3 linked regions of the Pelodiscus sinensis genome follow. The protein of the gene in region 1 interacts with the protein of each later gene in a pairwise test. Links are inferred from orthologs where the notes say so. Each region holds a gene or a part of one and is shown on either strand. Other genes may lie near its edges.

Evidence for each region. The genes of interacting proteins can lie anywhere in the genome.
Region 2: the proteins of FEZ1 (region 1) and PAM16 interact in a two-hybrid assay, tested with the Homo sapiens proteins (2 studies listed by BioGRID and IntAct). The link is inferred for Pelodiscus sinensis from reciprocal best matches to the Homo sapiens genes FEZ1 and PAM16.
Region 3: the proteins of FEZ1 (region 1) and PDCD7 interact in a two-hybrid assay, tested with the Homo sapiens proteins (2 studies listed by BioGRID and IntAct). The link is inferred for Pelodiscus sinensis from reciprocal best matches to the Homo sapiens genes FEZ1 and PDCD7.

Annotation. Positions count from the first base shown.
Region 1 is NC_134736.1:13,407,417-13,414,523, forward strand, and holds the start of FEZ1 (fasciculation and elongation protein zeta-1), read right to left. Parts: upstream 3,011-7,107; 5' UTR 2,840-3,010; coding exon 2,640-2,839; intron 1-2,639. UniProt on the Homo sapiens protein: May be involved in axonal outgrowth as component of the network of molecules that regulate cellular morphology and axon guidance machinery.
Region 2 is NC_134726.1:3,202,746-3,210,185, forward strand, and holds the start of PAM16 (mitochondrial import inner membrane translocase subunit TIM16), read left to right. Parts: upstream 1-4,431; 5' UTR 4,432-4,572; intron 4,573-4,605; 5' UTR 4,606-4,858; coding exon 4,859-4,861; intron 4,862-5,994; coding exon 5,995-6,079; intron 6,080-6,549; coding exon 6,550-6,677; intron 6,678-7,038; coding exon 7,039-7,104; intron 7,105-7,440. Other genes in the region: CORO7 (coronin-7), read left to right, coding at 264-355, 1,554-1,640, 2,480-2,485. UniProt on the Homo sapiens protein: Regulates ATP-dependent protein translocation into the mitochondrial matrix. Inhibits DNAJC19 stimulation of HSPA9/Mortalin ATPase activity.
Region 3 is NC_134724.1:6,575,305-6,582,250, forward strand, and holds the start of PDCD7 (programmed cell death protein 7), read right to left. Parts: upstream 3,010-6,946; 5' UTR 2,931-3,009; coding exon 2,175-2,930; intron 1-2,174. UniProt on the Homo sapiens protein: Promotes apoptosis when overexpressed.

The DNA of each region.
Region 1 (7,107 bases):
CCCTCTCCAGCTGCTCCAGCCCTGGACCCACAGCAGTTCTGTCAGCGTACCCTGCTTACGTCTCCTTCCTACCCATCATTTCATGTATCCGACACCCACCAATAGGGGACCCTAATCCCATCCATACCAGTCCCCATCTGCAGCTCTTACATCACCCTTTGCACGGCTCACACCCTCTGCGTGTGCTTCTTCCAGCACTCAGGAGGCGCTGGCAGGAACGGGGGAGCAGGAGTGGTGGGAGCATGCAGAGAGGACCATTATATCTTATGGGGGGAAATTCCCTCGTATCCATCATTTTGGTATCTGTCTCCCTTTTCAAGACTGCAACCCCAATGTGTACATGAGACTTCCTGTCCTTTCACTGCCTTGCATCTCTGCCAACACACCATGGGGAAATCCACTTGTCTCCTGCACAATAAGGTCACAAAGCATAACACCACTTCACTGGTCTTTCTGGCCCTTGGTTCTGAATTTCCCCCTTATTTATCCTAAACCCTGCTCTTTAAGAGTCCACTCCAACAGCAAGCATGCCCTCCAATTTAGCATCTCGGCAGGCAGGTGAACAAGAGCAGAAATTCCGACACTCTGCTTCACTGCGGAGCAAATCTCAAGTTCCATTTTTGCCAAACGTGACATGACAGAAGCAATAGAAAATGGAGAACAGAAAGACGCGGAAGCTCAAGAGAAAATGTCCCATAAATGAGCATCATGTAAAGATTCTGAGGCCAGAAAGAACCACTGTAATCATCAAGGCTGCCCTCCTGCCGACAACAGTGCCCCTGAAATGGCTCCTGTTTGAACTAGATCTTGTTTGGAAAACTAATCTTGATTTTGAAATTGCCAGAGATGGAGAATCCCCCAGAACCGCAGGTAATCGACCCCTCTGCCATCTCCATCGGCTTCTGGATTTGCACCAACCTTCCCACACCGGTCAGCTCAGGGCTCCTTTCTCCTCCGCTCGCCCTCGCCTCTCTGGTTAACAGAATTCTCCCCCCCCTCCCCCCCAGTCCCAACTGTGCTCGACTTTCATTAGCTCGCTCCTGGTTTCAAACTCCCACCACGATCTCCATGGTATGCCTTCCTTGCAGAGCCAGTGCCCGCTGAGTCATCCCACTCCAGAAAGGGGGAGGGGGGGTACCCTGGGCAAACAGCCTCCCTCCAGCATCAGATCCTGCACACTGATGGTGCTCAGAGAGGAAGGAGAGAGGTGGAAGGAGTGTCCCTGTCACTTTGCTGTTGGCTTTCAGAGCTCCACCACCAGCATTTCCTCTGCCTCCCTGTTCGGCAAGCAGAGAACCCGGCACCATGTTGTTCTCTTTGTAATGAGCACGTCAGGGCTTCCCAGGGACTGCACTAGTGAGGTCAGGTCACCTTGTTTTAAGTGCCGGGCAGCAATACTGCATCCCGCCCCTCAAAAACACACCCTCTCCATCCCTGGGGACATGCACCCCCCCCCATTACAGCCAAACCATCCGCAGGCTCCACGCACAACACCCACCTCCCGTATGCTCACACACACTAACAAGTTCCCCTCCCTGCACACCTACCCCCATCTCCTCTCCTCTCTCCTCCACATGCACTCGCTCTTGTCTCTCTGAACAGCCACTCCCACACACATCCAACACCAGCCCACATGCACGCACACACACAGGCCTCTACCTCACTGCAGACACAGCCCCCTCCGTGTGCACTTGCCAGCTCCCAGAAAGCCTCGTTGCTGCACAACAAAGCCTCCTCCCCCACCCCAGGCACACTGACATCTGCTCCCCCCTCCCCCCATGTTCCACATACACCCTGGATTCTCAGCCATCATACAGCTATGAAATCCCTCTGCACCATCCGCCTTACACCGATCCCCAGGCCCCAGGCGCCCTCTCACTGCATTCTCAGCACAGCCCCCCTGACCCACCTCAGCATCAAGGCCTGCAACACACCATTCCCTGCACATGCCTTGGACCAGGGAATATGCCGCGTCCTCGCACACCCGCACAGCCTCCCTCTGGATGGACACACAGCCCCTGTAAACACATAGCCTGTTCTGGGTGGGTACACACACACACACACACACACACACACACACACACACCCCCTGTAAACACACAGCCTGTTCTGGGTACACACACACACACACACACAGCCTGTTCTGGGTACACACACACACACACAGCCTGTTCTGGGTACACACACACACACACACACACACACACACACAGCCCCTGTAAACACACAGCCTGTTCTGGGTACACGCACACACACACACACAGCCTGTTCTGGGTACACACACACACACACACACACACACACACACACCCCCTGTAAACACACAGCCTGTTCTGGGTACACACAGAGCCTGTTCTGGGTACACACACACACACACACACAGAGACCCTGTTCCACACACACACACCGCCCCTGCAAACACACAGCCTGTTCTGTGTACACACACACACACACACCCCGAGTCCCCTTACACAACACAGCTCCCTGTACACACACACAAACACCCCCGTACACAACCACTGACACCCTGTGCACAAACACACCCAGCCTTTCCTGTACACACATCCATGCACACGCATCCAGTCCCGCTGGTGGGCGCGCGCACACAACACAACACAACAACCACACAACCCCCCTACCTCGGACACAAGGGCCGTGGCAGGCACCTCTGGGCTGGCGGCCGGGGGTCCCGGGCAGCCGGGCTCGGGCTCAGCTCCGCATCGCCGGCTGGAGGAGGCGCCGCGGGCTCGGCAGCCGCTGCCTGGCTGCGCGGAGACGGGGCTGGTCCGGGCCGGCGGCCGCCTCTCTGCAGCGAGCGCTGCGCGCCCGGCCCCCTCATCAATATGCCGCAGCTGCGCGCAGCCGGGCGGGCGCGCGGCTCGGTCCCCGGGGCCTGGGGGCACCCTGGGGCCTCGGGGCGGGGGGAGCGGGGCTCTGGCCTGAGCGCAAAGCCTGGGGGGCGACGCAGGCTCCCGGCGGGCCGGGGCCCGGGGCTGGCTGGGCGGGGAATCGCGTCACAAATGGAAGAGTCTTTCCAAGGCCAGCCTGGGAGAAAGGAAAGTCAGAGCCCAGGGCCCCTCCTGGCAAAGGGGGGGGGGGTCTCGCAGCAGCAGCCCCCTCTGCTGTCTGTCCGGACACGCTGCTCTGAGCCAGGGGTTCAGTTCAGCGACCCCGCAGAAGAAACTGCTCCCTCGTCTGCAGGCTTTCTCCCTCTGAGGCCCTGCAGGTCCCCCCAGGACACCAGTCACTCTAGCCAATTCAACATGGGTTCTTCTGCCGAGGAGAGGCAATTTCTGGTCCGTGTCACAGCTCTCGGACACAGACTAAGGGCAGGGGAATGCCGGAGGCGTGCTAAGGTGGAGAATGGAAAACGATCTGTTCCGGATTCTTTTTGTTCATGATCTAAAAAAAGCTTTTTATTGGGGCTGTCAATTGATCTGCCTTAAGACCTGTGATCAATGCAAGGAAGGAGGCACGGAGCCGGGGTCAGCTGGGGACTCCAGCTGATCCCAGGCTCCCATGATGCTGCCCCTTGGAAACATCACTGATGCATTTCCAAGGGGCAGCTGCACTGAGCCTGGGGTCAGCTGGAGTCCCCAGCTGACCCTGGCTGGGTGCAGCACCGTCTCTTGGAAAGGCGTCCCGGGTGATCTTTTTAATTGCTTGACAACCCTACTTTTTATTGCCCTTCATTCTGTTGGCCAGAGATTTCTCTTAGTCTCTTGGCTTCCCTTACCAATTTTCTGCAATTCCTAAAAAAGAAATTGATTTCAGCCCCTCCCCCTGAAACAACTTTTTTCCAGGTTCTCAGACAAAAAAAATCATCTTAAATCTTAATTAAAAATTGCAAGAGGCTCAGAGGCCTCAGTAAAATCCCCAGAGCCTTTGGTCTATTGCCTCTGAAAAGCTCCCGAGCTTCAAAAATCCCCAAACCCATCACAAAAGTACTGCAGCCTCCAAAAATTAAAAATATCCCCAAAGCCTTGACCTATTTCTCTGTTGCCAGAAAAGCTGCATGGGTGGGGGACTGCTCCTGGGAAACCCACTAACCAGTTAACTGGTTACCCATTCACATCCCTAGTCCACACAAGAGGTTTAGTAAACTAAAGGGGGTCAGTTAGCAAGGGTGATCCAGCATGTTCTAAAAAGCAATATACCTTTAAACCCTTAATCCCAGCTCTACGGCAGCCAGCCAGCCAATGAGGAGTAATAATTAAGATGTGAATTTATTCTAGGGCTTCCTCCTGGACTGACACACAGGTTGTTTGGTTTGCGACTTTCCTTTCTCATCCCAACCCACTGGGCTGCTAAGAAAGGGCTTGGCCTGTTCCCCCACCCCCTCCTCGCTTTTCCTGCATCAGAGAAATAGGTCAGCTTAGAAAAGGTTCTGGCCTGATTTTTGACTCCCCTGCACCAGGGCGCTGAGGAGGACTCCCGTGGAGTTACCCACGCCTCGGCGAATGGAAAAGCAGGCACTTTTGCTTTTAGACGCCAGCCCAGCACCAGTCCAGACCCACATTCACTGCTGTATAGGTGTTAACCCGGCAGAGCAGCAACTTTCTTCCTGCCGGAGGGGCAGATGAAGCTGGCTGCCGGAGGGAGCCAAGAACATGACTTTTGAGCTGGGAGGCCCAAGGGTGCAAAAGAAAATCTGGATGCCCCATTGTGGCTCCCTGGGCCTCCATGCTGCTCAGCATCCCTCAGGACCATCCATCCACCCCGAGGGTCTCTCTTCCTCCAGAGTGAAACTCCCCCAGGCCCAGGGTAAGGGACTGAAATCATCTCTCTGGCACCACCTTGTGGCACACACGAGAATGGCAAATGGCCACATTCAGGTGGGATGAGCAGCAGGAGCTTTTAGGTTCCTTGGTATTTTCATGACTCTCTCCGAGGTCTCTGTGCATCAAACAGTCCTGTGCCTATTCTAGAGCTGTGGAGATCCCAGCCGGTGGCTCATGGCCATGGACGCGTGTATTGGAGCCAAGTCGGTCCCAGGTATTACAGTGATAAGGTGCGTGAGGTAGAATCTTATATTGGGCCAACTTCCATTGGTGCGAGAGAGACGCTTTCAAGCTACACAGAGCTCGGCGTCAGGTCATGGGCATGACTGCTACCCGCTTCCAAGGCAAGGACATAGTGTCTGGTTGCACCAACCCTGCTGAACAAGGAACAGTGGTTCTGCGGCTGGATCTCTGACCAAGGGGACGGCCTTTCAGCATCTGTCTCTCTAATGCGAGAGGAGGGATGTTCAATTTAGATTAATCAACTAATTGAATAGTTAATGGAATTTGCATCAACTAATCGATTAGTCGATAAGGATGCCTCTGAATTTGAAATGTACTAAGAGCCCTGCTGGCTCTTACTACATTTCAAACGCAGAAGCCCCATTGGAGAGGGGTACGGGGCCAACAGGGGGACGTGCTCCCCGTGGTGTTTCTGCGTTTGAAATGTAGCGAGAGCTCCACTCTCACTGCACTTCAAAGGTGGAAATGCTGCCAGTTCCCCACTGCGTCCCTGCCCCTCCCCAGGGAGACGGTATTGGTGGGAACTGGCTTTTAAGCAAGCTTCCCCCAGCATCAGCTCCTGCTCTTCTCCCCTTCCTACTTCTCTCTGATAGAGGCAGCAAAGAGGAGAGGGGAGCAACTAGTCGAGTCACTAGTTGCTTACATCCCTATGAGAGAGCTTTCCATTCTGCAGCCAAACAATTCTGAATGTTCAGGTCATGCTGCAGGCATCAATAGCCAGCGCACAACCTGTGGAACTCCTTGCCAGAGGATGTGGTGAAGACTAGGGCTATGTCTACATTGCCCCTTCTTGTGCAAAAAATATGCAAGTGAGGATTCTACACGGCTCCTTTTTGCACAAACCCCCACTCTTGTGCAAGAGCCATTCGTCCTCTTTTCCAGGAAGAACGGCTCTTGCTCAAGAGGGGGTTTTTGCACAAAAACAGAGCCTCATTAATTATGCAAATGAGGTGCAGCAATATTCCATGCTTTGCCTCATTTGCATATTTTTTGCACAAGAGGGGGCAGTGTAGACATAGCCAAGGAGTTTAACAGGATTCAAAAAAGAGCTAGCTACGTTCATGCAGGTTAGGTCCATCCATGGCTATTAGCCAGGCTGGGTAGAAATGGTGTCCCCAGCCTCTGCTTGTCTGGAAATGGGTGACAGGGGAGGGATCACATGAGGATTCCCTGGTCTGTTCCCTTCCTCTGGGGCACCGGGCATTGGCCACTGTGGGCAGACAGGACATTGAGCTGGATGGACCTTTGGTCTGACCCCGTCTGGCCGTTCTGATGTTTTTACTATTCAAATAGCATCCTAGCCCACCTATGTCAGTTCCACTTACTTTCTAGGTGGCATAACCTAATAGTCAGAGTCTGTAACAACATCCCTTTCTCAGGGCAGTGTGGCCTAGCAGCCAGAGTCTCTGGCAATTCCCCTGTCTCTCACCGGACAGTGTGGCCTAGTGGACAGAATCTGTAATAGCACCCCTCTCCAACAGGGTAGGGTGGCCTAACAGCCAGGCTATGTCTACACTCTTGGCTTCTTGCGCAAGAATCTGCAGCGCATCCACACTGCCCACCCGCTCTTGCGCAAGGAAATTTATAGTACGGCGTGGTAAGAGAGGGCTCCTTGTGCAGGAGTTACACCTCTTTTTTTATCAGGTGTAAGCCCTCTTGCGCAAGAGGGCAGTGTGGACGCTCGGCAGGGATTTCTTGCTCAAGAGAGTGTCCACACTGCCATGGGAGCTCTTGCGCAAGAGCACAGCACGCACATGGCAGTGTGGACGTTTTCTTGTGCAAGACTTCTTGCACAAGAACCCGTGAGCAAGATGTTCTTGCACAAGAGGCTGCCAGTGTAGACATAGCCCCAGAGTCCATCATAATGTCTTCATCTCCCAGGACAGTGCAGCCTAGTGGCCAAAGTCTATAGTAGTGCCCTCCTCCCGCCCCCCAGGGCAGCATGGCCTAATAGCTGGAGTCCATAACAATGCCCTTTTGTCAGGGCAGTGCAGCCTAATAGGATGTGTGTCGCCTTGCAGGGTTGATGGGGGGGGGGGACCTGAGCCCACCTGCTCCACCGGGTCCCAGCCCAGGGCCCTGT
Region 2 (7,440 bases), on another chromosome or scaffold:
TGTCCCTGGCCGTGGGGCACTGGGAGACGCTAAGGCTCAGGGTGGGCAGGAGGAATGGGGGGCCTTGCCAGGCGCAGGGCAGGAAGGGGCCAGGGAAGGCTTAGGGTGGGCAGGGGCTGGCGGAAGGGGGAAGGGGCCAGGGTGGCCAGGCTCTCCCTGGGACTGGAGGAGGCCCTATGGGAAGGCCGGTGAGCTGAGCTGGGTGGCGCCAGGGGGTGGGGTGAGAAGGCGGGTGCTGACGCTGTTCTCTCCCGCCGGGCCAGTGAGCGCGGCCCCGCAGGAAGCGCCTTCCCGGAAGTACGTCCCGGCCAAGGTCTACCTGGAGGAGAAGTCTGACGAGCAGAAGAAGGAGGAGGTGGGGCAGCCCCCAGGAACCTGTGTGGCTCACTGCCCCAGCCAGGCCACCCTGCCCCATGGCCATGGTCTGTTTCTGGCCTGGTGCTAGGGTCCATTGGCCACGCTGGGTGTCTCCCTTTGGTGTCTCTGCCAGATGCTGACCCTGCCCACGTGCTCCACGGAGCCCCTCCCTGCCAGGTTCTGACCCCGCCCACAGCTCCATGTAGCCCCTCCTTGCCAGGTTCTGACCCCGCCCACCTGCTCCACGGAGCCCCTCCCTGCCATGTTCCAACCCCGCCCACAGCTCCATGGAGCCCCTCCCTGCCAGGTTCTGACCCCGCCCACCTGCTCCACGGAGCCCCTCCCTGCCAGGTTCTGAGTCCGCCCACCAGCTCCATGGAGCCCCTCCCTGCCAGGTTCTGACCCCGCCCACAGCTCCATGGAGCCCCTCCCTTCCAGGTTCTGACCCCACCCACAGCTCCATGGAGCCCCTCCCTGCCAGGTTCTGACCCTGCCCACCAGCTCCATGGAGCCCCTCCCTGCCAGGTTCTGACCCCGCCCACAGCTCCATGCAGCCCCTCCCTGCCATGTTCTGACCCCGCCCACCAGCTCCATGGAGCCCCTCCCTGCCAGGTTCTGACCCCGCCCACCAGCTCCATGGAGCCCCTCCCTGCCAGGTTCTGACCCCGCCCACAGCTCCATGGAGCCCCTCCCTGCCATGTTCAGACCCCGCCCACAGCTCCATGCAGCCCCTCCCTGCCATGTTCTGACCCCGCCCACCAGCTCCATGGAGCCCCTCCCTGCCATGTTCCGACCCCGCCCACCAGCTCCATGGAGCCCCTCCCTGCCAGGTTCTGACCCCGCCCACCAGCTCCATGGAGCCCCTCCCTGCCATGTTCCGACCCCGCCCACCAGCTCCATGGAGCCCCTCCCTGCCAGGTTCTGACCCCGCCCACCAGCTCCATGGAGCCCCTCCCTGCCAGGTTCCGACCCCGCCCACCAGCTCCATGGAGCCCCTCCCTGCCAGGCGCTGACCCCGCCCACCAGCGCTCCCCCAGGCAGGGGGAGTACCTGTCATGAGAGTGCCTGCTGGAGTCAGCCTCTAACCCGCGCCCAGGGCTGGGACCGAGGCTGCAGTGCCCGCGTTCTCAGCTGCCTTTCACGGATGCCTGGGACCATTGCGGGCCGGTGCCCACACTCTGCCCTTCTCCCTGCAGCTGCTGAGCGCGATGGTGGCCAAGCTGGGCAACCGGGAGGACCCGCTGCCGCAGGACTCCTTCGAGGGCGTGGACGAGGCGGAATGGGTAGGCTGGGGCTGCTGCGGGGTGAGGGGCTGTTGTGACGCGCTGCCCTCAAGGGGACAGCCAGTACTCAGCTCGCTGGCAGCCACAGGGCTGCCTGAGCCCCCTGCCGTCTGCTCTCAGCCCCCCAGGAAAAGCTCGGCAGTGGGACCTATGGACAGTTGCCTGGGAACAACCCTCCAGACCTCCATGCCCAGGGGGAGTCCTGGGGGGGCAGAACACCCAGTGATCCCACCCCTGTGCCAGGCACCCTGCCCAGGATGTGGGGGGGGCTGTGGAGGGGCAGAACACCCAGTGATCCCACCCCTGTGCCAGGCACCCTGCCCAGGATGTGGGGGGGGCTGTGGAGGGGGCAGAACACCCGGTGATCCCACCCCTGTGCCAGGCGCCCTGCCCAGGATGTGGGGAGGCTGTGGAGGGGGCAGAACGCCCGGTGATCCCACCCCTGTGCCAGGCGCCCTGCCCAGGATGTGGGGAGGCTGTGGAGGGGGCAGAACGCCCGGTGATCCCACCCCTGTGCCAAGCGCCCTGCCCAGGATGTGGGGGGGCTGTGGAGGGGGCAGAACGCCTGATGATCCCACCCGTGTGCCAGGCGTCCTGCCCGGGCGTGGGGGGGCTGTGGAGGGGGCAGAACGCCCGGTGATCCCACCCCTGTGCCAAGCGCCCTGCCCAGGATGTGGGGGGGCTGTGGAGGGGGCAGAACGCCTGATGATCCCACCCGTGTGCCAGGCGTCCTGCCCGGGCGTGGGGGGGCTGTGGAGGGGGCAGAACGCCCAGTGATCCCACCCGTGCCAGGTGCCTTTCCTGGGCTCCTGGTCCCACTCACCCATCTTTCGTTGTAGGACTAGCCCTGGAGGGGTGACTCCTTTCCCTGGGACCACCGTCTCCTCCATGCCAAAGCTGCTGGCTCCCCACGCCCTGCCTGGCCTTGGCGGCTCCCACGCTGAGGACTTGCCTTTCGCTGGACCACGCCCGCCCCAGGCTTCGCCGCTGCCCGCCTCAGTGCCCCACCAGCAGCGCTCTGCCGAAGCACCCAGGATGCCCACTCTGTGCCGGGCTCTGCTCTGCTACCCAAGGGCTAATGGACTCGGCGAGCCAGACCCTGCCTCCCTCCTCGGCCTGGCCTGCCCCGAACGCTCTGCCGCTTGCTCGGCCGCCGCGCTGCCCCCGCTTCGACCAGGAGTGCGCACCTCAGCCCGACACACCAGCAGGCGCCTCCGGCTGGCGCTGCTCAAACTACCCCCCTCGGGGTAACCTCCGCCGGCAGTGACAGCCCAGGGGAGTTGGGGGAGCCGCTGGGGGGGGTCTGGGCCTCCCAGCCTGGCCTGACGTTTCCTTTCACAGCCACCGACCCTTCCTGGTGTGGTACCACCAGCTCTTCAGCCCTCAGAGCTGCCCCCAGGACAGGGCGCGACTGGCAATGCCCCCTTCGGCCAGCACGGGGCTCTAAGGTGGGGGGTCCTTGAACGCCTTACAGGCCTGCCCCAGAGCACTCGCCCGGCCTTGCTGCACGGTCAGGCCCTTCCTCCGGGCCGCAGGGATCACGGGCCGGAGGCTGGAATGCCCCCGGCACAAGGGGCCACCACGTGCCTTCTCTGTGTCTGCCGCCCTGGCTGCTGGCACCCGGCGAGTCACTGCCTGGCTGGCCCTGGCATTGTTCCGCCAGGAATCGTGTGTTCTCAAAGCACAAGCCCCCCAAGGGCACCCTGCCCTGGTCTCGAGGGCAGCCCATCTTGGGCAGGGTCACCCGGGGGGAGCCTCAGGGATGGGAGGGGCCATGGAGCCCAGCCCTGTGGTTGAGGGGTTCAGCTGCACCCCCAGAAATCAGGAAACCAAGGGAGCCCAGCCTGCGTAGCTCTACCTTGCCAACAAACCCAAGTGCCAGAGAGGGCTGGCACCATTGGCCAAGGCCGGGCTGGGCTTGTCAGGGGCAGGGCCAGGGGCCCGCTGGGTGAGGCCGAATGCCAGCAACCCAGCTGTGCGCAGGGGGCTTCCGAAACGGCACCGCAAGTTTTAATAAAAGGTTCTTTAAAAACCCAATGGAGGCAGCAAGTCTATAACCTCGGAAAGGCCGTGCGGCGGCAGAGCCTTCTCCAGGGTGGGGCGGCCGGCTGCCCCTTGCCCGGCACTGGGCAGGGTTCCAGGAGGTGACCCAGGAGGCAAAGGGACCCATGTTCAGAGGCCGGGCCCTGGGGGAGGGTGTGACGGCGCGTTGGGGGTCCCCCATCTCCTGCACCCCGAAATGGCACAAACAGACTGCACCAGCCGGTGGAATAGAGGAATTTTATTGCCTCTCCAGGATACAGCACAGCACAGATGTAATCTGGTCACAGAGCTGGGCTAGGATGCCTCAGGCCCCCTTGAGATGGGGAGACCGGGCCCCTAAACTCCAGCCCCTTTCCCTAGGCTGTCTCCTCCATGCCCCCAACCAGCAACTAACCAACCCTCTTCCAGCCCTGCCCCCAGCCAGGGCAGCATCCACCTTCCTTTGTTCCTCTCCATGGGGGGTGTCTGGCCATACCGGTTGAGAGGTCCCTTTGCATAGTGACTCATCCTGTTTTGCTGGGTCGTGGTACCCACGGCAGCCAGTGGGGGTTACCCCAGAGCCAGCCGCATAGAAACCAGCCAGGTCCCCCCACTACGTCACAGAGGGAACGCTTCCTGCAAAGGAACTGCCAGTGCCACTGGGTCCGGCTCCCACCGGGCACGGGGCCTGGCAGCAGGCGACCCTCCAAAGCCCGCCCCATGGGACTGGCTGGCTGGGCACGGCTCAGCCCGGCAGCGACTGCGCTGGCGGCCAAGGGGGCCAGGGCCTGGGCCATATTGGGGCATATGGGGCTGGCAGGGGGTCTCCAGGGCTTGGTGCCCTCCCGGGGCAGAGCACCCGCAGGGCTGCAGACGGGCGGAGGCATCACGCCGCGTGGGGGGGGCAGAGGCCCGCGGGCCGGGCCAGTGGCTGAGGACTGAGGCCCGCGGGCCGGGGCTGGCAGCGCTGCCCGACTGGGCTGCACCCCGCGCTCCGCTCGCCGGCAGGGGGCGCCTCGTGCCAGTCACATGATCAAACTAGCTGGGCCAGCCGGGGCTGCAGCTTCCCCGCCGCCCGCCAGGGGGCGCGCTCCCTCCGCGCTCCGCCCGGCCCGGCTCTATGGTGCCCGGCGCGCGCCCCCCGCCCCGCCCCGCCCCCAGCGCTTCGCTCCCCGAGCCGGGCCGCGCGCAGGGACATGGTGAGCGCGGCCGGGCCCCCGCCAGCCCCCCCCCCACGCGGCCTGGGGAGCGCGCCCCGGCGGGGGGCGCGCCCTAGAGGGGGGGGGGCGTCCTGGCGGGGGGGGGGGTTAGTCTGCTGGGGGGGGAGCCCTGGCGGGGGGGTTATCTGCGGGGGGGGCGCCCTGGCGGGGGGGGTTAGTCTGCTGGGGGGGGCGCCCTGGCGGGGGGGTTAGTCTGCTGGGGGGGTGCCCTGGCGGGGGGGGGTTATCTGCGGGGGGGCGCCCTGGCGGGGGGGTTAATCTGCGGGGGGGGCGCCCTGGCGGGGGGGTTAATCTGCTGGGGGGGTGCCCTGGCGGGGGGGGGGTTATCTGCGGGGGGGCGCCCTGGCGGGGGGGGGGGTTATCTGCGGGGGGGGCGCCCTGGCGGGGGCGTTAATCTGCGGGGGGGGCGCCCTGGCGGGGGGGTTAATCCGCGGGGGGGGGCGCCCTGGCGGGGGGGTTAATCTGCAGGGGGGGCGCCCTGGCGGGGGGGTTAATCCGCGGGGGGGGCGCCCTGGCGGGGGGGGGGTTATCTGCGGGGGGGGCGCCCTGGCGGGGGCGTTAATCTGCGGGGGGGGCGCCCTGGCGGGGGGGTTAATCTGCTGGGGGGGTGCCCTGGCGGGGGGGGGGGTTATCTGCGGGGGGGGCGCCCTGGCGGGGGGGTTAATCTGCGGGGGGGGCGCCCTGGCGGGGGGGTTAATCCGCGGGGGGGGGTGCCCTGGCGGGGGGGTTAATCTGCAGGGGGGGCGCCCTGGCGGGGGGGTTAATCTGCTGGGGGGGTGCCCTGGCGGGGGGGTTAATCTGCAGGGGGGGGCGCCCTGGTGGGGGGGTTAATCTGCGGGGGGGGTGCCCTGGCGGGGGGGTTAATCTGCTGGGGGGGTGCCCTGGCGGGGGGGTTAATCTGCAGGGGGGGCGCCCTGGCGGGGGGGTTAATCTGCAGGGGGGGCGCCCTGGTGGGGGGTTAATCTGCGGGGGGGGGCGCCCTGGCGGGGGGGTTAATCTGCAGGGGGGGGCGCCCTGGTGGGGGGTTAATCTGCGGGGGGGGGCGCCCTGGCGGGGGGGGTTAATCCGCGGGGGGGGCAGCTGCCCCTCCCCTGATGCCGCTGTGTCCGCAGGCCAAGTACCTGGCGCAGATCCTGGTGCTGGGGGCGCAGGTGCTGGGCAGGGCTTTCGCCCGGGCGCTGCGGCAGGAGTTCGCAGGTGAGCACCGGGCGCCCGCCCGCTCTGGGGCTGGCTGGTCCCGGCCTGGGCTGCGGTGCCCCGATTGCCCCGCGCGTGCCGGGCCCTGCCCAGGCCGATGGGGCCGGACAGAGCACAGCGGGGTCCCCCATGGCCCCACCCAGCCTGCAACCGGGGAATTGAACCTGGCGCCCTGGGCTCATAGAGCCACTGGGGATGTGAGCAGGTGTCTGGTCGCTGGGCTCCTCCAGCCCATCCCCATCCCCGCCGGAGCAGCCCCTGCCTGCAGGGAGTGGCGGGTGCTCCAGCCCCAGGTTTAACCAACTAAATGGGATTTTACATCGCCAACGGCCACCCCCAGCTCGCAGCCTGGTGGCACGTCCGGTTGTGCAGCCAGTGGCCCCCGTCCCGCTGCTCGGGGGGCAGCTCTCCTGGGAGTGCTGTGGGTGGGCTGTGCGTGCGGGGAGCCAGCTCAGGGTGTCTCTGAACAGCCAGCCGAGCCGCGGCCAATGCCCGGGGGCCCCAGTCTGCTGCAGCCACCAGCCTCTCAGGGATCAGCCTGCAAGAGGCCCAGCAGATCCTCAACATCTCCAAGCTGAGCCCGGAGGAAATCCAGAAGGTAAGGGCACAGCGCGGGCCGAGCCACAGGCAGGCCTGCACACGCTGGGAGGTCGGCCCCTTGCCCCGGCCACTGCAGGCTGGTCGTCGCGCTCTGGCAGGCATGGCTGGGCGGTGGCAGGTCCTGTTCCAGGCAGTGCCCGTGTATGGCCACCTCATTGGGGCCCTGCCACCCTGCTGGCTGCTGGGGGGTAGGCTCTGTGCTGAAGCGCATGGACGCGGCCCCCAGCGCATTCCCATATCCTGGGCACTGCCTGGAGGGCCCTGTCACCGTGCGTCCCGCAGCCGGCTGGCAGCGCGCTGACATGCAGAGCGAGGGCAGGAGGAGCGGCCGCCCATGCTTGGCTTGTTTCCTTTGGCAGAATTACGAGCACTTATTCAAGGTGAACGACAAGTCGGTGGGGGGCTCGTTTTACCTGCAGTCTAAGGTAAGGAGGGGTTGGGCCGGCCCCATAGGGATGGGGGCTGGCTGGCTCTCTTGGGAGCTGTGGGGCTGGAGGCTTTCAGGCTCTCGCTGCGCTAAGCCCCTGGAGCGGAAGCAGATCTTTTCCGAGATCTTTGCCAGGTGACTGTGTTGCTTGCAGTGTCCTTTGGGTGCCCCATCCCCGCATGCCTCTCTGGGCTCTCCTGTCACACGGGCTGGACCCTGGAAGTCCCCAGGAGCAGCATGTTGGAGCCTGAGAGAGGCCACGCTCTTGGGGGTCTGGCACCACATCTGTTTGCCCAGGGTTACGCCCGGGGGCACGTGGACTGAGGGAGCAAGC
Region 3 (6,946 bases), on another chromosome or scaffold:
TAAAGCTGACCTAAGCCTTGGGGGAAACATGGCTAGGTCAAGTCTTCTGATAATTAACTTCCTGAGAGGCAGTAGCTAGATTAACTACAGTGTTGGAAAAACCCTTTCCATTGCTGTAGGAAGCGCCTACACTACATCATTACAGCCACAGTATCATAGCTGTATTTCTGTACTGCTTGTGGCAAAGACCTGGCTTGAACATTTAGAGGATGCTTGTGTCAGTCTCATGTTTCCCTCTTAACTTAAAAATAAATAAAGCAAGGATTTGCACATAATCCTTTGACTTCAGTAAGTGGGACTTTAAGAATGTTACTAAATTTCACAAGATTTGCAACAAAATTATGAGAATTATAATAATTCTTGGAACTTTCATTAGAGAAGGGCAAAGCTTCTAAACAGACGAATCTTACAGACATGCCAATGAGGTAGCTAAGGGATACCCCAAGAACCATTTACTGAAGCAGCCCCTGCCTGTGACACCCCCAGGCCCACCGCAGACAAGGACTGGATGCCTGGAACAGCCCTTGTCTGCAGCAGGCCAGGAACTGCTCCAGCCCCCTCTGGTTAACTGATTAATCTTTCACATCCCTAGACGGAACACAATGACCCATGTCGGGATTTGACCAAAGCAGTGGAATCACTGTCTCGAGTTGGATCTTTAAAGACTACCAGAATGGGGTCATCTTGAAAGCACAACACCCACAGAGATGCTGAACTAGGGATGTTACCGAATCCCACCCCAGCTTAAAGTGGTTTCCATCATATACAGGCTTTACAGTTTGGTTTAATGACTCTCAGAATCCATGATACAGCAAGTTCTAGCACCCCCGAGTACCAGTGTTCGCTGTCAGCCAGTGATGGGCAACCTAGGCTAGTGAGTGGACTGCATGAGTGACTCTCCTCCAACTCAGTGGGCCACAAGACCGAGTCACAGGACAAGGTAGTTTTGCCTACTGCGCTTGCGTACCTGGAATACGCATGGTATGCAGACTGAATAGTAGCAGCACTTTGGATGCAGAGGGAGCACATGTCTTTTCACAGTCAATGGTGTGCAATCAGCATGCACTAGGGATGTAAAGGAGTAGTAGAGTCAACTACTGGCATTATCCCCCACTTCCTGCCTCTGATACTGCAGAGGCGGGGGAGGGGACGTAGGGGCTGCTGCTGCAAAGCAGCCCCTGTCTGTGGCGACCAGCCAGGGGCAGGGGCTGCTTCACAGCAGGGATGTTAAAATTAGATTAATCAACGGATCAAATAGTGGATGGAATTTCCATTGCAGAGCCTTTGAAATGTACAAGATTGAAATGCCACGTGGAGCCTGGGGCAAGTGGGGGACTCAGTCTCTTGCTAGCCCCAGGCTCCATAAGGCACTTCTGCTTTGAAATGGAGCTGGAGGGAACCGGCTTTTAAGCTGACTCCCTGGCCCAGCACCTCATTCTTCTCCCTCCACCTTGATGCCTCTTTCTGACAAAGGCAGCAAGAGTTGGGGTGGGGAAGGAACTAGTGTGACAACTACCTGATAAGCTTATCAGATAGCCGACTGACTAGTCGCTTACATCCCTACTTCAGGCAGCAGTCCCTGCCTGTGGGAGGTCCCAAATTCCTGCTGGGACCTCTGCACACAGAGATTGCTGCTAGCTGCATAGGCTGCCTGGCTCCTACTGACTTTTAAATTGCAGAGCTGCAGTGGGGTTCGGTCTCACACCAAGCACCAGCCAGAACTGAGCCGGGCTGCCTATCAACTAATTGAATAGTCGATAAAAACTCTATCAACTACTCAATTAGTTAAATACCTTCATTTTAATGTCCCTCGCATGCACTTCACGCCACGTGTCCTTGCTTTATACGCACGTCACAATAGCAACACCAGTAGCAAAAAAAAATGACACATACTGAAACCAGCGAAATCTGGCAACCCTGCGCACCGGCAACAGGAAACAAACTGTCCCACGGGCCACACGCAGAACCCCTGCCCACCGCTGCTGTAAAGCATACGCAGTAGCCAGGCAGGAGAGAGTCCAATGCTGCCCAGCGGATGAGCAGGGCGCTAGATTTTCTTTCTGGGGTGGTGCACAGTCACGCAGGCCTCGGTGCACGTTCACATTTATTCCGCACGTGGATGGAAAGGAGCGGGAAGGAACAGGGCCATTGCACGGCGGGGGAGGGCGCCCTACCCTGTTCTTCTCCTCCACCTCCTGGACGCACTTGGCTCGCCACTGGTCGATCCTGGCCTCCCTTTCCGCCGCTCGGGCCGCCTCCTCCTCCCGGGCCGCCTGGGCCTCCTGCTTCCTCTTGCGGAGGCGCAGCCGCCTCTTCCGCGCCTTGTCCGCCTTGCGCCGCAGCTCGCCCAGGCCGCCGGGCTCGCGCAGGGGCCGCAGCTGCTCCTGCAGCTCCCTCAGCAGGGCGCGGGCCTGCTCGTGGGCCTGGCGCCAGCCCGCCTCGTCGCCGGCCGCCTCCTGCCGCCGCAGGGCGCGGCACAGCGCCGCCAGCCGGGCCACCGGCCGCAGCGCCCCCGCCGCCAGCTGGCGGGCTCGGCCGGGGCTGGGCGCGCCGGGCGGCGGGGGGAAGCCGCGGGGCCGGGGCCGCCGCCGGGCCAGGAACTGGGCCAGCCACAGCTCATCGCGCGTCCGGCGCGCGGCCTCCTCCTCCGCCTCGCGGGGCTCGGCGCCGCCCTCGGCCCACGGCGGCGCCCACGGCGGGGCCGGGTAGAGGGGCCGCGGGGCCGCCTCGCGGGCCGGGAAGAAGGAGCCGCCGCCCGCGGGGAGCAGCTCGGGCGGGGGCAGCGGCGGCGGCAGGAAGGGCGGGGCGGCCGGGAAGGGGCCGGCGGCGGGCAGCGGGGGGAAGGGGCTGCCCGGGGGCGGGAAGCAGCGGAACGGGGCGGGCGGCGGCGGCCCGGCGAAGCGGGGGGCGAAGGGCGGCGGTTGAGCCATGGGGCCCGGCTCGCCTCAGCCCGGCCGCGCGCGCGCGTGCGCGCTTCCGGCAGCGCTCCCTGGCGGCGGGGAGGAGGCGGGGCAGGGCTGCGCACACGTCACGTGGGGCGGCTGCGTAGGAGAATTTGAATATTGATGAGGGGGGAGGGAGCAGAGCCCTGACTTCGACCAGGACCCTACGCACGTGGAGGAGACAGTCCAAGCAAGGGGCCTGACTGCCTGGATTAGAACACGCAGGTGGTGTTTGTACAGGGCCTCTGCCCCTCTGCTCAGTCCAGGGCCTGGCGGGCATTGGCTACTGTTAGCACAGAGGGGAGCCACCGGCACAGTCATTTCTAAATCCCTGGGCCAGCCCTAAGCTTCTGCTGCAGCGTGCTGGCAGGGTTCCCACATTGCAGCACACACACAAATGAAACCAGGTTGGGGGAACCTGCAGCACAGCAGGGTTCTGTAGGTTGCTCCTTAAGCGTATTGTTCATCATTGACCTCATACACAGTAGGATGAGGGGCTCTCCAGCCATTTCTGTTAAGGGCCCAGCTCTGGCTGTTACATTGCCAGGTGGGGGAAGTGTGGGACTTACTCTGCCTCTGTGCAGCTACCATTCAGGGATGTATCACACCTTCTTGAACCAACCCTAGCTGCAGGATGCTCCAGGTTGAGACTTGGCTTGTAGCATCCTGCAGCCAGAGGTTGACAGTAGCAGAGGTGAGTCATCTCCATGCTGCTGGGAGAGCAGATGCCAGCTGCTCAAGTGCTGCAGCCTTCAGAGGCTAGCACTGAAAGCAGCACAAAGTGAGGGTAGCAATCCCCCAACCCTCTTACAACACCTTTGCTACAACCCATCTTCACTCTATACACAGCTCTTTTGCCTGGTCAATTTCACTGCCATAGGCTTTCAAAATGTGAAATTGACAAATTCTCAAATGTTTACAGTGAAATTTCAGATGTAAACATTTGAGAATTTGTCAATTTCACATTTTGAAAGCCTTTGGCAGTGAAATTGACCAGGCATGAGATAGGGTTTAATATATATGGCATTGCTTTGACACCACCTTGGAGTTGATCAGCTAGAGTCACAATGTTCAAATGGGGCTACACAGCTGGTCTCAATATATCACCTGCGCTGCCAGCTGCTTCAGTGCAAATCCTCTTCCCATGACCCAGCAGTTATTGCCTGTATGCAGATGAGGCAGTAACAGTATGAGGATGTCACAAGGAGGAGCAGAATCAATGCACAGAAGAGGTAATTTACAAATGGACATTTTGTATTATTTGACTGTTACAAAATGCATTACATAATATAGCCAAATAAGAATACATGCATTGACACTGTTGCTCCTAGTATGGACTTGTTTGCTCCAGATAAGTGATCAACAATGTGTTTAGACTAGTACAGTCTAATCTCAGCTGCTTCAATCTGTCCCTTCTTGCCAAAATGGCAGCTGAAGAACTGCTCTGCTGTTGGTTCGCTGGACCCAGCCACAGTCCTGCTATTCTACATCTTTGCACTGCAAAGCAGATTGATATCTATCCCATTCCCATAAATCCCATTTACTACTCCTAGGTATTTCCAGGAGCTGCAAAACTGGGATTACACAGACAGCACTAAATGAAACAGTGGGCAGGAGAGAGTTTACTTGAACCATTTCCATTTCTCTATCCCCAACAGCACAGAACTGGTTTGGTTTAGTACTAAATGTTTTGAAGCCTGCTGAAAGCCTTCTCCAATGGGTTCCTAGAATTTCCCTTCACATATTCATGTCCCCAGGAGTAATGAACAAACAAAGCGTGTAAAACTCTTAGCAAAAAGCCAACTGGAGCATCTTTTCCTAGACCTTAAAGTGGTCAGTTATGCGACTCCTTCCATCAAGGTGCAAGGAACTGACACAGGTAACTTCCACAATTACTAATACAATGTGAGAAGGGAAGAGTTTTACATATGCATACTTTTCCCTCAGTCATTGGTTTGGTGCATTTTACAAAAAAAAGCACTGATCTTTACTTATGCAGTCATTTAGACTTACTGCTATTGGGACACCCAGGCTTCGTCTACATTGCCGGTTTTGCAATGAGGTGTAGATTAGCATATCGCTGCAGAAAAAAAAGTAGTGTGGATGTTTTGTTTCTGCGCAAAATCCGTTTTCCGCAAGATCCTTACGCCTCTCCCGGAGGGGCATAAGGATCTTACGCAAAACGGGGTTTTTGCGGGAAAAACCCAGTCCACGCTAATTTTTTTTCCTGCAAAAACCCTTTGTGCAAAGAGTTTGCATAAATTATGCAAATTGCACATCAATATGCTAATCCACACCTCATTTGCATGCTCACAGCCCACAAAACTGGCAGTGTAGATGTAGCCACAGTGCTTTCATTCAAAACAGGTATTTCCCTGGGTTTAGTAGTATCCAAACAGATGATAAAGCAAGCCTTTCAATAAGAGAGGGCTAGATATGACAGAGCTAGATATGGCCCATCCCACAAGCCTCCGGATCCAACCTGTGAGCAGCCCCAAACCAGGAACCTCAGGCACAGAGCAGCCAGAAGCTTCCCATAGCTCTCTACTCCAGGCACCAAGGGGAGGGAGAGGCTTTGCATGCTGTCCCCATCCGCTAACAAAAATATCTCAGCTGCTATTGTCCAGAAACTGGAGCTAAGTGATTTTGCTAGGAGGTGAGGCAGCGTGTGCTGCTTCCCCTTCCCCCTGGGCAGCTGCAGCGGAGAGCCTCAGGGAGCAGTCTGGGACAGCCTGGGACAGCCTTAGAACAGCCTGGGACAGGGCTGCTGGCTGTGAACTGCCTAGGTAAATGCCTGCTGGTCATTTCCTGCCCAGGTCATCACCCAATCCCTCTGCACCCTCCTCCCATAGGTCATAACTCCCTCCCAGACCTTGCACACCCAATAATCCCTTCTCCAGGCCAGAATCCTTTCTTGCTCCCTTACCTCCTCCCAGACCCTGCACCCCAAGCTCCCTTTCAGATCCCATACCCTCTCCTGCACTCGAGCCTCCTACCCCAAACTCCCTTCTGCACCCAACCTTCATCTCAGACCCCACATCCTCTTCTTAGAAAAGTGCAGCCTTTAACCATTTCCTAAAATCTTGGCATGGCCTCCCATAACAAATAGACAACTGCTGCAATAAGGCAATTACTGTCCATAACTGACTATATAGAAGGCAGCTCTAATTAGCCTCACTCCCCACAGTATCAACTTGATAACAAGGTTTCAAATGAGCATGAAGATGCAAAAGGATGGCCCTTCAGAAGCTACTATAATTAGGTAACTTTTTAATTGAGTTAGTGGAAGCATTTATCTGACAATAACCACCACAGGCTATTTATGCAAAATGCATTTCATTCGCCCACGTTATAGCTATTTTGCTTTTTATTGTACTTTTATTATATGTACCTTTCCATTCTAAGAATATGAAAAGTCATGATTAACTTGCATAGTTTCCAAAGCACCATTCTATTAGGAATATTCAATATGGTCTTAAAATAGACAACTGAAAAAGCTCAATATATACATATATAACTTAATTCAGCTTTTTAATGAAGATCCTGACCATAACTCAAAACATTTTTCCGAATGGTTAATTACTTTGTGCCATTACTTAAGTCTCATGCTTTATCTACAGAAACATATGTAATTCATGACTATTTGCTTTGTTTTATTGAAACACCAAACCTACTTTTGAAGTACAAATCGTAGTTACACGTTTTAAAACATTTCTTGATTACATATTAAACTAAGTTGTTCAATGCCTTTCACTAAAAATATTCCTTAATCATTTCAAAGATGATTTAACAGAATTAAAAGCTATTTGAATTTTCAGTCTACTACCTGTAAAAGGAAAATAAAGTTACGAAAATTGGAAGTTTGATCATTCTCTATGAGAATCTACAGTAAACTAAGTACGCTTGCTTTTCCTGGAAGTCTCCTGAACCCTGAGAGCAGCCTTTCCTGAACCATTATTGGTTTAACCAGAAGAAAACAGAAATTGCAACATCAATTCAGTTGC